Tribolium castaneum: one gene and its partner. Each later gene encodes a partner of the first gene's protein in a complex. Links are inferred from orthologs where the notes say so. Each region holds a gene or a part of one and is shown in the gene's direction. Other genes may lie near its edges.

Region 1 (8,440 bases):
AAATTTAATGAGTATTAACACTTGCCTTCAAGAAAGTGAAAAAAAAATTTTTTTAATGTGTTCTATCATAGTTTTTCGTACTTATATGTGCCTTTACAACCCTCTAGGGTTGTTAAAAGTTCAAAAAAAATCCTTATGTTCGATTTTTTAATATTTGATTTTTTCAATTTTCGTCGCAGTTTTTGTCGGTTTTGGGTACCCGGAACATTTCTCGAGCAATAGCTCCGGAACTATTAGAGATAACCCCATGAAGTGTATTATCGTTGGAAAGCTCTTTTAATTGTCTATCTTTTTCAAAAAAGATCTTTGCTCTCCGACTAATAGTTTTCGAGAAAATTGCAGATAAATGCAAAAATTGGTAAAATTTTAAAAAATTCGTAACCAAAAAACTAGTGGGAATTTGGCAATTTTCTCGACGCCAATCGATTCCCTGGATCATTTTGCATAGGTAAAGATCAAAACAGTTCCCCTTTTTCGAATAGTTTAGTCGTAATTGAGAATATAATAAAAATTAAAAATAAATTAAGACCTCCCTCCCCTCCAAAATGGCCATTTTTAAAAGTGTCTCAGAATCAAATAACACTTATCCTTTCTTATAGATTTTGATGTGCTCTTTACGATGGAAAAAAGAGTTTTTTCCTAGCTCTTTTAGTTTGGCCGTAATCGGCGATTGAAAATTATAAAACTTTTTGCGAGATATCGCTTTGAGTCCTATGCCATTTTGTAGAGTTTTTATTGCGCTTTTCTACAATTCTTCCGTTTTTAGATAACTCTAATAATTTCGCCGTAATCGGCAGTTGAAAATGGAAAAAAAGCGAAGATGGAAACTTTATTTGCGTTTTTCTCGGAAACTCTAAGACTTAGAGAATCAAACTAAAAAAACGGATGGCGCTTAAAATTATCTATTTTTTCGTCCAAACCCGGAGCTGCTCCGGGCAACGGTTCCGGTTACAGAGGCAATTAAAGTTTTACACTAAAAAAAATCATAACCCAAAAAGTAAAAGTCGTTGGGCAATGCGGTTTGTTTCATTTTCTTTGTTATACCAGCTTTTTTTACGAGATTAAAAATTTTGATTTTTTTTGCTAAATTCTGCTATATCGTAAATTAACTTAATTTTTGTATTTCGCGGTAAAATAATTCGGGCAGCCATTTTGTGCTTTAGTCAACCCACAATACACCACTTTTTTACTATTTTCTTATTGCTTAAATCTCTTTTTTGTACCCATAAAAACCCCACGACTCACTAATCACCATACGACTTTTTTGTCGTGGTAGTAATTTTTTGTGATAAGAATTGATAAAAACTCTTCATTCCGGCGCTTGCGCACTATCCCCGATCGCGTCCTGCCGTTACCCCAAAATTTTCCTCATCTCTCGCCTTCATTTTCCATCAAAATGTCGGCCATCTGATTTCCCTAACCTCAAAAGTGCATATGTGCGCGTAAAAATGCCATTATCGCCCGTTTCCACTCTCGGAAACCGTTCATAATCAGCTTAACGTAGTGTGGTGCGCCCCCAAGGCCATGTCGAACTCCCTGTGCAAGACTTCGGTGCTCCGCATCTACCAGGAGGTGATCGACGACGTGATCAGCGGCGTCCGCGAGATCTTCCTGGAGGACGGCGTCGACGAGCAGGTCCTCCAGGAGCTGAAGCAGACCTGGGAGACCAAGCTCAAGGCCAGCAAGGCGGTGCAGAGCGAGGAGGAGAAGGCGAAGAAGGCGGAGATGACCGCCACCAACGGCTTCCCCAAGCAGCATGTGGCGCAGCCGGCGGCAGCCCCCGTGGGGCAGATCGCCGAGACGAAGATGGTCCCCATCCAGATCACGCTCCCGGCGCAGCCCGGCAGCGACCAGGGCCCCAGGATACTCACGATACAGGTCCCCGCCACGGCGCTCCAGGGGAACCAGCTCCAGAAGGTGCTCACGGGGCAGATCATCACGGGGATGATGAATTTGCCCGCCAATATTGCGTCTTCGGTGCTCCAGCAGCACGTCAACGCGGTGTTTAACAGGTAGTCAGTTAGCCCCCTTTTAACTTAAATCGTCCACGCAAAATGTTTTCGGGTCACCCTGTACAAAGAAAAATACATGTTTTGTGCACACTTATGCAGATATTTTTGTCAATAATTGTTTTAAAAATTTTCTAATTATTGTTTAAAATTTTATCGGATTTTTAATAATGTTCTCTTCGGAATAAATAAAAAAGCTTGTAATAATTGTAGTTTTTTGTTATGAGATAACGTGTTTTTAACAGCCAGCAGCAGCAGATCGTGACCATTGTCAACCGAAACATCGCCCAGACGGACGGAAGCCACGCCGAGGAGGAGGAGGAGGAACAAATCGAAATCGAGTTTATTTTGCCTAGGAAGAAGGTGCCCCAGGTGGACGGCCCCGTGGACACGTCCGACGACGATGAGGACGGGTCTGACGACGATAACGACGACGAGGATATCGATGACGATAAGGACGAAGAGGATCAAGAAATGGAGGAAGAAGGTGGTGAAGAAGAGCCCCTGAACTCCGAAGACGATGTGACTGATGACGACCCAACTGATTTGTTCGATACTGATAACATCGTTGTTTGTCAGTACGATAAAATCATAAGAAATAGGAATAAGTGGAAATTTTATTTGAAAGATGGGATAATGAACTTGAGTGGACAAGATTATGTCTTCCAAAAGGCTAACGGTGATGCGGAATGGTAATTAGTGTTTTTTAAGAAGTTTTGTTTTTTTTTTATTATTTTCAAGTCACTTGCACGCAAAACCCGTCACTTATTCAAGGGAACGTTGGGTTCCGACTTAAGTTATTGAACTTTTGTATGTAAAATGGGAGAATAGCCTGAGTTGTAGAATTGTGTTATCCATTATAAATGTAACTAATAATAGGCGTTTAGATTTAATCGAAATTTTTACTATGTATTATCAATTATCGATAGCCGTTTGTGAATAAAACTATTTTTGAAGTTACACCATTGGTCGTTTTTCTAACACCTGGAAGATGACAAAAATCGCAAATTAGCAGCTCTTTTGAAAAAAAATCATAACTCAAAAACTAAAAATCGTAGAGCAATGCCTATAATGGAAAATTATATTCAACAAAAAAATTCATAATTCGAAAACTAAAAGTCGTAGAGCAGTGCGGTTCGTTCCATTGGATTCAGCGCCTTTTTTTCTCTATTATACTAATTTTTCACGCAATTTAAAATTTTCAATTTTTTTGCTCAAATTTCCTGAGTTATACACTTACTTACCTTCAAAGAGGTGAAAAAAAATTTTTTTTAAACTAACTCCAGCAAATTTTTATGGACTTCTACATGTCTTAACAACTCACAAAAGTTGTTAAAAGTCCACAAAAAGTCCAAATGTTCGATTTTTTGATGTTTGATTTTTTCAATTTTCGTCGCAGTTTTTGTCGGTTTTGGGTACCCGGAACATTTCTCGAGCAATAGCTCCGGAACTATTAGAGATAACCCCATGAAGTGTATTATCGTTGGAAAGCTCTTTAAATTATCTATCTTTTTCAAAAAAGATTATTGTTCTCCGACTAATAGTTTTCGAGCAATTTGCTGCTAAATGCAAAAATTGGTAAAATTTTAAAAAATTCATAACTAAAAAACTATTGGGAATATGGCAATTTTCTCGATGCCAATCGATTCCCCGGATCATTTTGCATAGGGGTGGATCAAAACAGTTCCACTTTATTGAATAGTTTAGCCGTAAATGAGAAAATAAAAAAAATTAAAAAAAAGTTAACACCCCCCCCCCTTAAAATCGGTCAATTTTTAAAGTGTCTCAAAATCAAATGAAACCTATTCTATCTTATAGATTTTGATGTGCTCTTTACAATGGAACAAACCTTTTTCTTCTAGCTCTTTTAGTTTGCCCGTAATCGGCGTTTGAAAATTGAAAAATTTTTTGCGAGATATCGCCTTGAGTCCTATGCCATTTTGTAGAGTTTTTTATTCCGGTTGTCCTCCATTTTTCCGTTTCTCGAAAACTCTAATAGTTTCGCCGTAATTGGCGGTTGAAAATTGAAAAAAAGTGAAAATGGAAACCTTTTTTTGCGTTTTTCTCGGAAACTGTAAGACTTAGAGCAACGAACAAAAAAACATCTGATAGCGCTTAATTTTATCTATTTTTTCGACTAAACCCGGAGCCGCTCCGGGCAACGGTTCCGGCTACAGAGGCGATTAAAGTTTTTCACTAAAAAAATTCATAAAAAAAAAACTAAAAGTCGTAGAGCAATGCGGTTTGTTCGGTTGAATTCTACGGCTCATTTTACATAATATATAAATTTTTCACAACAATTAAAAATTTAAAATTTTTTGCCTAAATTTAGGGTAGCCATTTGTCATAGCGAAAAATTTTATTCATTAAAAAAATTCATAACTCGAAAACTAAAAGTCGTAGAGCAGTGCGGTTTGTTCGATTGAATTCTACGGCTCATTTTACATATTATATCGATTTTTCACAAGAATTAAAAATTTAAAATTTTTTGCCTAAATTTAGGGTAGCCATTTGTCCGTGAAAACTTTTATTCCTTAAAAAAATTCATAACTCGAAAACTAAAAGTCGTAGAGCAGTGCGGTTTGTTCCATTGGATTCAGCGGCTTTTTTTCTCTATTCTACCAATTTTTCACGCAATTTAAAATTTTCAATTTTTTTGCTAAAATTTCCTGAATAAAATACACTACTTACCATCAAAGAGGTGAAAAAAAAAATTTTTTTAACTAACTCCAGCAAATGTTTATGGACCTCTACATATCTTAACAACCCACAAAAGTTGTTAAAAGTCCACAAAAAGTCCAAATGTTCGATTTTTTGATGTTTAATTTTTTTCAATTTTCATCGCAGTTTTTGTCGGTTTTGGGTACCCGGAACATTTCTCGAGCAATAGCTCCGGAACTATTAGAGATAACCCCATGAAGTGTATTATCGTTGGAAAGCTCTTTAAATTATCTATCTTCTTCAAAAAAGATTATTGTTCTCCGACTAATAGTTTTCGAGCAATTTGCTGCTAAATGCAAAAATTGGTAAAATTTAAAAAAATTCATAACTAAAAAAATATTGGGAATATGGCAATTTTCTCGATGCCAATCGATTCCCCGGATCATTTTGCATAGGGATGGATCAAAACAGTTCCACTTTATTGAATAGTTTAGCCGTAAATGAGAAAATAAAAAAAATTAAAAAAAAGTTAACACCCCCCCCTTAAAATCGGTCAATTTTTAAAGTGTCTCAAAATCAAATGAAACCTATTCCATCTTATAGATTTTGATGTGCTCTTTACGATGGAACAAACCTTTTTCTTCTAGCTCTTTTAGTTTGGCCGTAATCGGCGTTTGAAAATTGAAAAATTTTTTGCGAGATATCGCCTTGAGTCCTATGCCATTTTGTAGAGTTTTTTATTCCGGTTATCCTCCATTTTTCCGTTTCTCGATATCTTTAATAGTTTCGCCGTAATTGGCGATTGAAAATTGAAAAAAAGTGAAAATGGAAACCTTTTTTTGCGTTTTTCTCGGAAACTGTAAGACTTAGAGCAACGAACAAAAAACCATCTGATAGCGCTTGATTTTGTCTATTTTTTTGATTAAACCCGGAGCCGCTCCGGGCAACGGTTCCGGCTACAGAGGCGATCAAAGTTTTTCACTAAAAAAATTCATAAAAAAAAAACTAAAAGTCGTAGAGCATTGCGGTTTGTTCCATTGAATTCTACGGCTCATTTTACATATTATATCAATTTTTCACAAGAATTAAAAATTTAAAATTTTTTGCCTAAATTTAGGGTAGCCATTTGTCATAGCGAAAAATTTTATTCATTAAAAAAATTCATAACTCGAAAACTAAAAGTCGTAGAGCAGTGCGGTTTGTTCGATTGAATTCTACGGCTCATTTTACATATTATATCGATTTTTCACAAGAATTAAAAATTTAAAATTTTTTGCCTAAATTTAGGGTAGCCATTTGTCACAGTGAAAACTTTTATTCATTAAAAAAATTCATAACTCGAAAACTAAAAGTCGTAGAGCAGTGCGGTTTGTTCGATTGAATTCTACGGCTCATTTTACATATTATATCAATTTTTCACAAGAATTAAAAATTTAAAATTTTTTGCCTAAATTTAGGGTAGCCATTTGTCACAGTGAAAACTTTTATTCATTAAAAAAATTCATAACTCGAAAACTAAAAGTCGTAGAGCAGTGCGGTTTGTTCCATTGGATTCAGCGGCTTTTTTTCTCTATTATACTAATTTTTCACGCAATTTAAAATTTTCAATTTTTTTGCTCAAATTTCCTGAGTAATAAATACACTTACTTACCCAAAGAGATGAAAAAACAATTTTTTTAAACTTACTCCAGCAAATTTTTATGGACCTCTACATATCTTAACAACCCACAAAAGTTGTTAAAAGTCCACAAAAAGTCCAAATGTTCGATTTTTTGATGTTTGATTTTTTCAATTTTCATCGCAGTTTTTGTCGGTTTTGGGTACCCGGAACATTTCTCGGGCAATAGCTCCGGAACTATTAGAGATAACCCCATGAAGTGTATTATCGTTGGAAAGCTCTTTAAATTATCTATCTTTTTCAAAAAAGATTATTGTTCTCCGACTAATAGTTTTCGAGCAATTTGCTGCTAAATGCAAAAATTGGTAAAATTTAAAAAAATTCATAACTAAAAAACTATTGGGAATATGGCAATTTTCTCTATGCCAATCGATTCCCCGGATCATTTTGCATAGGGATGGATCAAAACAGTTCCACTTTATTGAATAGTTTAGCCGTAAATGAGAAAATAAAAAAAATTAAAAAAAAGTTAACACCCCCCCCTTAAAATCGGTCAATTTTTAAAGTGTCTCAAAATCAAATGAAACCTATTCTGTCTTATAGATTTTGATGTGCTCTTTACGATGGAACAAACCTTTTTCTTCTAGCTCTTTTAGTTTGGCCGTAATCGGCGTTTGAAAATTGAAAAATTTTTTGCGAGATATCGCCTTGAGTGCTATGCCATTTTGTAGAGTTTTTAATTCCGGTTATCCTCCATTTTTCCGTTTCTCGATATCTTTAATAGTTTCGCCGTAATTGGCGATTGAAAATTGAAAAAAAGTGAAAATGGAAACCTTTTTTTGCGTTTTTCTCGGAAACTGTAAGACTTAGAGCAACGAACAAAAAACCATCTGATAGCGCTTGATTTTGTCTATTTTTTTGATTAAACCCGGAGCCGCTCCGGGCAACGGTTCCGGCTACAGAGGCGATCAAAGTTTTTCACTAAAAAAATTCATAAAAAAAAAACTAAAAGTCGTAGAGCATTGCGGTTTGTTCCATTGAATTCTACGGCTCATTTTACATATTATATCAATTTTTCACAAGAATTAAAAATTTAAAATTTTTTGCCTAAATTTAGGGTAGCCATGTCATAGCGAAAAATTTTATTCATTAAAAAAATTCATAACTCGAAAACTAAAAGTCGTAGAGCAGTGCGGTTTGTTCGATTGAATTCTACGGCTCATTTTACATATTATATCGATTTTTCACAAGAATTAAAAATTTAAAATTTTTTGCCTAAATTTAGGGTAGCCATTTGTCATAGCGAAAAATTTTATTCATTAAAAAAATTCATAACTCGAAAACTAAAAGTCGTAGAGCAGTGCGGTTTGTTCGATTGAATTCTACGGCTCATTTTACATATTATATCAATTTTTCACAAGAATTAAAAATTTAAAATTTTTTGCCTAAATTTAGGGTAGCCATTTGTCATAGCGAAAAATTTTATTCATTAAAAAAATTCATAACTCGAAAACTAAAAGTCGTAGAGCAGTGCGGTTTGTTCGATTGAATTCTACGGCTCATTTTACATATTATATCGATTTTTCACAAGAATTAAAAATTTAAAATTTTTTGCCTAAATTTAGGGTAGCCATTTGTCAGTGAAAACTTTTATTCCTTAAAAAAATTCATAACTCGAAAACTAAAAGTCGTAGAGCAGTGCGGTTTGTTCCATTGGATTCAGCGGCTTTTTTTCTCTATTATACCAATTTTTCACGCAATTTAAAATTTTCAATTTTTTTGCTAAAATTTCCTGAATAAAATACACTACTTACCATCAAAGAGGTGAAAAAAAAAATTTTTTTAACTAACTCCAGCAAATTTTTATGGACCTCTACATATCTTAACAACCCACAAAAGTTGTTAAAAGTCCACAAAAAGTCCAAATGTTCGATTTTTTGATGTTTGATTTTTTCAATTTTCATCGCAGTTTTTGTCGGTTTTGGGTACCCGGAACATTTCTCGAGCAATAGCTCCGGAACTATTAGAGATAACCCCATGAAGTGTATTATCGTTGGAAAGCTCTTTAAATTTTCTATCTTTTTCAAAAAAGATTATTGTTCTCCGACTAATAGTTTTCGAGCAATTTGCTGCTAAATGCAAAAATTGGTAA
Region 2 (6,378 bases), on another chromosome or scaffold:
TTTGCAAAATAAAGGCGTGTTTTAATACGTCATTAGAGGGTGATTAATCTGCTAGATAATTTCAGTCGACTATAATCACCATGAAAAATGCCAAGTGTGTAAAAATAATCGTATTTTAAGTAATTAACTTTCCGTTTTTTCCGTAAATAGCAACATCTGTAGCACAAAATTAGTCACTGCACAAATACAGGTGTTAATTTTTTTCAAAAACCAAAATTTTGTAAGAAATGATTAAAAAAGAATAAATTCTGAAATTTTCTACCACAAAACTTGTTTTTTGCTGACGGTTGTGTCCAGCTAATCTATAATTAAATAAGATTTCCCTTGTGGATTACCGTAATAGGTTTTGCTGAAGTTGGCAGTTGTATTAAATTATTTCAGTTTTACGAAAAATAGTTATATATAGTTATGTACAGTTAGTTGTCGTGTTTTTTACATTCATACATGTTGTATGAGAAAATTTAAATTATGTCTCCATAGAGGAATTAATGCTGAAAAGTGAGGCCTTGTTATCATCACTAACGTTTGCTTTAGATTAACCTTTTTGCTTAACTTAGCTTGCGGTTACGTGTAATTACAATACAATAAAAGATTTGCAACGACACAAAGCATCATGCAGATACGTGTCAATCTGTACGTACGAAGCTACTTCACCTTTAACTAAATTTACATAAAATAAGTCGTAACATGTTCAAGAAATGTGTTTAAATATTCGGATTTAGAACAGAAACGTGTTATCATTCGTAAGTTTTTGGCAAAATTAAATTATCACTCGAGTGGTAATAAATCCGTTACGAAATTACGTCAAGGTACAAAAAAGGAAACCACCTCTCGATGACATAATATCTCGCGAAAATGAATCATTGTAGTTTCACGCTATAGTGAGCGTTAAAACGTAAAAAATGCCACTTTAATTCGTGTTTTATTGATGTGTTTGTCTAATCGACAGTGTGTTTTATTCTGATAGGTGCTTATTTAGGAAGAATCGATCTTGTCGTCGATATTACTTAGCACAAGTTCGTTTATTATGCATTGATGACATTTCATATTATTCCGATGACCCATTAAACTCGATTATTTTTAATATTCCTCCTAGTTTACACTAATACTGGGCCCAAGTGTAATTAGCCGAGTCACACCGCTCCCTTTTTGCAGGGAAGCGGACTCAGGAATGCATCTGCGTGGGAATCTGCTTGACCCTTATGGTGGTCAACTTCTTCTTCATAATATTCCACGTCCGTATGGACAACTTGAGCACGATTTTGGTGGCGGCGTTTTGCGGCATTGTGACGGCGGATTTCGGCTCGGGACTCGTGCACTGGGCGGCCGACACGTGGGGCTCGGTGGAGCTCCCCATCTTGGGCAAAGTGAGTGGAGAGCGAAATGTTTGATATTTTAAATTTTGTGTAGAATTTTTTGCGGCCGTTCCGCGAACACCACATCGATCCGACGTCCATCACCCGCCACGACTTTATCGAAACCAACGGTGATAACTTCATGGTGACCATTCCGTTTCTGGCGAGGATGGTTTGGGATTTTCTGACGCTGCCTGCGGACGGGGTCGAGAGGAAGTTCACGTGGAATTGCTACGTGTTTCTGTTGGCGATTTTCGTGGCAATGACCAATCAGGTAGAGTTAATTATTGATTCGAATTAATTCCTCGGGTCGTGTGTGCGCTTTTAGATCAGCTCGCGATATAATACTTTATAAAATGATAGGGCCCGTGGCAAACACGCACACCTGGGGTAACGCGCCCGATAAATCTGAGTTCATTTGCTGATTGGAGCCACTTTCCAGATACACAAGTGGTCGCACACCTACTTCGGGCTGCCGGCGTGGGTGGTGTGGCTGCAGGAGCACCATGTGATTCTGCCGAGGCGCCACCACCGCATCCACCATGTGGCCCCGCATGAGACCTACTTTTGCATCACCACCGGGTGGCTCAATTGGCCGTTGGAGAAGCTGCGCTTTTGGAGCATCCTAGAGCTGCTGATTGAACACACCACGGGCTACAAACCGCGGGCTGATGATATGAAGTGGGCGCAAAAGGGCACGTGATATTTTTGTCTTTGTTATGAATGGGGTTTGTTTTGTTAGTTCTACGTGTCTGTGGAATAATTGCCAAAAGTTCATTTAGTTGATTTAGCGATTTATTGGTGATAGAGAACACCACGTTTTGTTCGATTCAATAAATACATAATCAAGTGCCTGATTTTAAGATTGGACAACGAATGTAATGTACTTTTATTGTTACAAAATCATGTTAACCATTGGGGACCAAGCGATGGGCCTTGGGCCAATTTTTTAAATGTTTAATAGTTCTTACAATTTAGCCTAATGATTTGATCAATTTTAGATTTATTGAAGCTAGTCTTAAACACTCCAGGGATAATCTACACGCACTACCAAAGTAGTTAGAGTGCCTGATTTAGGTACTTTATGAATCATTATCATTACAAACACGCTTAACACCCAGTAGGGTAATTTGTACGACTTATGACTAGGCTAAGGTTTTTAATTCTCAACTTGTTTGCAATTATTTAATTATTTGAGCTTTATGACGAGCTCCGTCTGCGTTTTATTCAATTAATCAATAAGCAGTCGTACGCTAGAAACTACCACAAAAAATGGTTTGTTAACTAGACAAACACTGTGATTTAAACATCGCAATAAATCGCAGTTATTTTTACCATTTCTAGACAAAACTGCAATGGTGCGCTCAGCTCCATTTGCGTGTGCGTCATCTGACATTTCTCTCACTACGTTTACACAGCAGGGGCATAGCGGTGACAAACTATCAAATATTTTTTGAGGTTACGAAGTTGTTACAAAAAATACAGATTCACAAAACAAGAACTAATAAACGCAGAATCAAAAACCTAACGAAACGCAAATCACAAAACACAATAAACGAACAGAAAATACTTACGATTAACACCGATAACACACACTTTCGACAACGATGCGACGACGTCTATAATTTACTGTCAATGTCAATTAATGTTCAAGGATACCACCCTTAGATAGCCCTTAGCTGTTTAAATTTGCATTGTTTTTGACAATTTTTATAGCTTTGTGTTGGTAATGAAAAAATGAAATTGACGCACACGCAAATCGAGCTGACCGCCACTATAATAGACAAGACGGTATTTTATAAAGTCTGGAACAAATGCAATTATTTTATACAATAAAGTTGCTTGAATTTAATGTGTTTTATTTTTTTCGCACCAAATTGTTAACTAAACTTAAAAAAATCGTAACAATCAAAATTTCATCAAAAAAAGTTTTTATCGCAACTGCGACGCAACCAACAATACACTAAAGTAAAAGTATTGTTTGAACCGATAACAAGTTTCGGACTGATGCACTTTCGTGCAACTCTCCAATAACCAATACTTTTGACGTTTGACGCATTTGACATCTGAACGTTGTGCTATGTTTGTGTATGCCTTTAAATTAGTCAATTAGCTAGAAATCGAGAATGAATGACGAAGAATTCGACGGTGATGACGTGGGGGACGACTTCGACGACGACGTCGATGACGACAACATCGAGGAGCTGGAGCAGCCCGAGGAGGAAGGCGACAACATCGACATCCTCGCTCATGGCCAAGCCGGGGGCGGAGTGCCCAAAAACAAACGCATAACAACCAAATACATGACCAAATACGAAAGAGCTCGTGTTTTGGGAACAAGAGCTTTGCAAATCGCCATGTGTGCCCCAGTTATGGTGGAACTAGACGGAGAGACAGACCCGCTTCAAATCGCAATGAAAGAACTCAAACAACGGAAAATCCCCATCATAATCCGGCGTTATTTACCCGACCACTCGTACGAGGATTGGGGCATAGACGAACTCATAATAATTGACCACTAGTGTAATAAGATTTTGTTTTTAAGAATAAAGGCTAAGTAAACATCGAGTTTTATTTTAATTAAGCGAAAATCATTTCGTCGCGGCGGCGTTTCGGCTGATTGGGCCGAATCTGGCATTCAGGGTGGTTCATTAGTTCAGGGGGGCACGTTGAGACAGGTGACGATAGCAACATTTGCTTCAAATCGTAAAATAGGGCCGAGTCGTCGTTGGTGCAAAAACTGATAGCCACCCCGCTCTTCCCGGCACGGCCGGTTCGGCCAATACGATGGGTGTAATCTGAAAAAAAATAAACAAATTACAGATTAGATTTCCTTTTTTCTTCAGTTTGCACTAGTCATAAAGAAAAAAAATCTGGGACAAACTTATCTTACCTTCAATAGTCTTGGCCATGTCGTAATTAATAACAACGGAAACATCCTTAATATCAATCCCTCTCCCAGCCACGTCAGTGGCCACCAAAATGTCCTTAGCCCCCGACTTGAGACTAGCCAGTGCGTACTCTCTCTGCTCCTGCCCCTTACCCCCATGGAGCGTACACGCATTGTAGCCCAACTTCTCCAACCCTTTGGCCAAAACATCGGCCCCTTTCTTCTGATTAACAAAAATAATAATCGGTGGATCGACCCCTTTGGACAAATACTCCATCAACTTCTTCCTCTTATCGTTCTCAGTCATAATATGCACAATTTGTTCGACCCGTTCCGTCGGTTTCCCGATCGAACCAATGTACACAACCGCCGGACGTCTCAAATACGTCCTCGCCAGTCGCTCAACCGCCGGTGGCATAGTTGCCGTAAACATCACCGTTTGCCGATATTTCTTCTTACTGTTGTAATTCGCCAAAATTATTTTACTATCTTCCGCTTCTTCCGAGTCCGGTTTCAAGTTAGTGACCGGCATGTACTCCAAAATTTTTTGCACATCTGCCTCAAATCCCAAATCAATCATGCGATCGGCTTCGTCCATAACAATGTACGTGCACTGGTTCAGGACCAAGTAGCGATTTTCCAAAACATCAATAAGTCGTCCCGGGGTTGCAATAACAATCTCGCACCCCATTCGCAGCCTAAAACCTTGCTCCTCGCGACTTAAACCGCCCACAACCACCACAGTGCGGATCCCCAACGGTTGGCCAAACTTCACCGTCTCCTCCTCGATCTGTTGGGCCAATTCACGCGTGGGGGCTAAAATAATGGCATAGGGGCCCTGATCGGCATCTTCAGTGCGTTCGATTTTCGGGAGCGATTGAATCCAGGATAAAAGCGGGATCAAAAACGCAAGCGTTTTGCCCGAACCGGTCTCCGCAACCCCGATAATATCCCGGTTCTGCATCCCGATGGGAATCGCCTGTCTCTGGATGGGGGTTGGTTCCTTGTAGCCCACTTTATCGATGATTTCCAGCAGCTCTTTCTGGATGCCTGACTCTTTCCAGGAGCGGATGGGTTCCGGGATTTTGCCGCCTTTGATTGTGATGTTGTAATCTTCGCGGAAAATGCGCCAATCACGCTCGGTCATTTCCGAGACGTCTTTCTCCGACCAGTGGCGATCGTCCCACAGTTGCTTCTCTTCCTTACGTCTGACTTTCTTCAACCTGACTTTTTCCTGGGCTTTTTCCGCTTCGGTGCGGCGTTTTTCGAGTAGTTCGCCGTAGAATTTGCTTTGGTCGCGTTTTTGGGCCTTGATGTCGATTCCGGCGAGGTTTCCGCGGCCGAAAAATTGCACCTGGTGGCGCTCTTTGTACAAGGGATTGTAGTCCTGGGACGTGTCCTCACCGGCGTCCCAGTCGAACACGAACTTTCGGTCGTTCAAACGCCTAACTCGTCGCTTCTTTTTTATCAAACCCAAGTAGCGTTCTTTAATCGCGTCGGATTCCTTCTCCCTGTCTTTATCCTTCTGTTTGTCTTCGTCTTTTTCGCGATCACGCGGCCGCCGAAACTCCCGGTCATCCTTTCTCTGTTCCTCCTGTCTGGAAGCTTGCACGTTTTCGATTATTTTCCGTTCGGCTTCTTGTTGTTTCCTCAAACGGTCAACTTCCTCCTGACGACGTTTCAACGCCTCTGCGGCTCGCTGTTCCTTGGTCAAAAACACCGGCTTGCTTTTGGCCGCTTCTTCGGCCTTTTTCTTAGCCAGAAGCTCCTCCAATGACAAGGGTTCCTTCTTAGGTGCTGGTTCCTGTTTCACGTCTGATTTCGTGTCGGGTTTCGTTTCTGTCTCTGGTGTTGGTGATCGCTTTCGCGAGTCTTTCGATTTCTTGTCTTTATCATCTTTCCGGTCACGTTCAGACTTACTGTACCTGTCGTATTTGCTGCTGGAACTCTCGTACTTGTCTCGGGAACGAGACCTGTACCGTTTGTGGGGGCGCTCTTTGCTACGTGAGCGCGAACGCCGTCTCTTATCCAGGCGGTCTCTGCTACGAGAACGGCGCTTTTTATCGTTCACCATCGATCACTTTCAAGAAATATTAAATTGGAAAAACGTACACAAAACGTAGGTTAGGTTGA

The links.
Region 2: TfIIA-L (region 1) and Polr2F share a complex: the UniProt entries of both Homo sapiens proteins name them as parts of the TBP-based Pol II pre-initiation complex. The link is inferred for Tribolium castaneum from reciprocal best matches to the Homo sapiens genes GTF2A1 and POLR2F.

What each region holds. Positions count from the first base shown.
Region 1 is NC_087395.1:25,196,058-25,204,497, reverse strand, and holds TfIIA-L (transcription initiation factor IIA subunit 1), read left to right. Parts: upstream 1-1,315; 5' UTR 1,316-1,524; coding exon 1,525-2,012; intron 2,013-2,254; coding exon 2,255-2,705; 3' UTR 2,706-2,969; downstream 2,970-8,440. UniProt on the Homo sapiens protein: TFIIA is a component of the transcription machinery of RNA polymerase II and plays an important role in transcriptional activation. TFIIA in a complex with TBP mediates transcriptional activity.
Region 2 is NC_087398.1:1,179,817-1,186,194, forward strand, and holds Polr2F (DNA-directed RNA polymerases I, II, and III subunit RPABC2), read left to right. Parts: upstream 1-3,481; coding exon 3,482-3,877; 3' UTR 3,878-3,923; downstream 3,924-6,378. Other genes in the region: Kua (plasmanylethanolamine desaturase 1), read left to right, coding at 1,156-1,367, 1,411-1,629, 1,798-2,058; probable ATP-dependent RNA helicase DDX23, read right to left, coding at 3,936-4,153, 4,249-6,319. UniProt on the Homo sapiens protein: DNA-dependent RNA polymerase catalyzes the transcription of DNA into RNA using the four ribonucleoside triphosphates as substrates.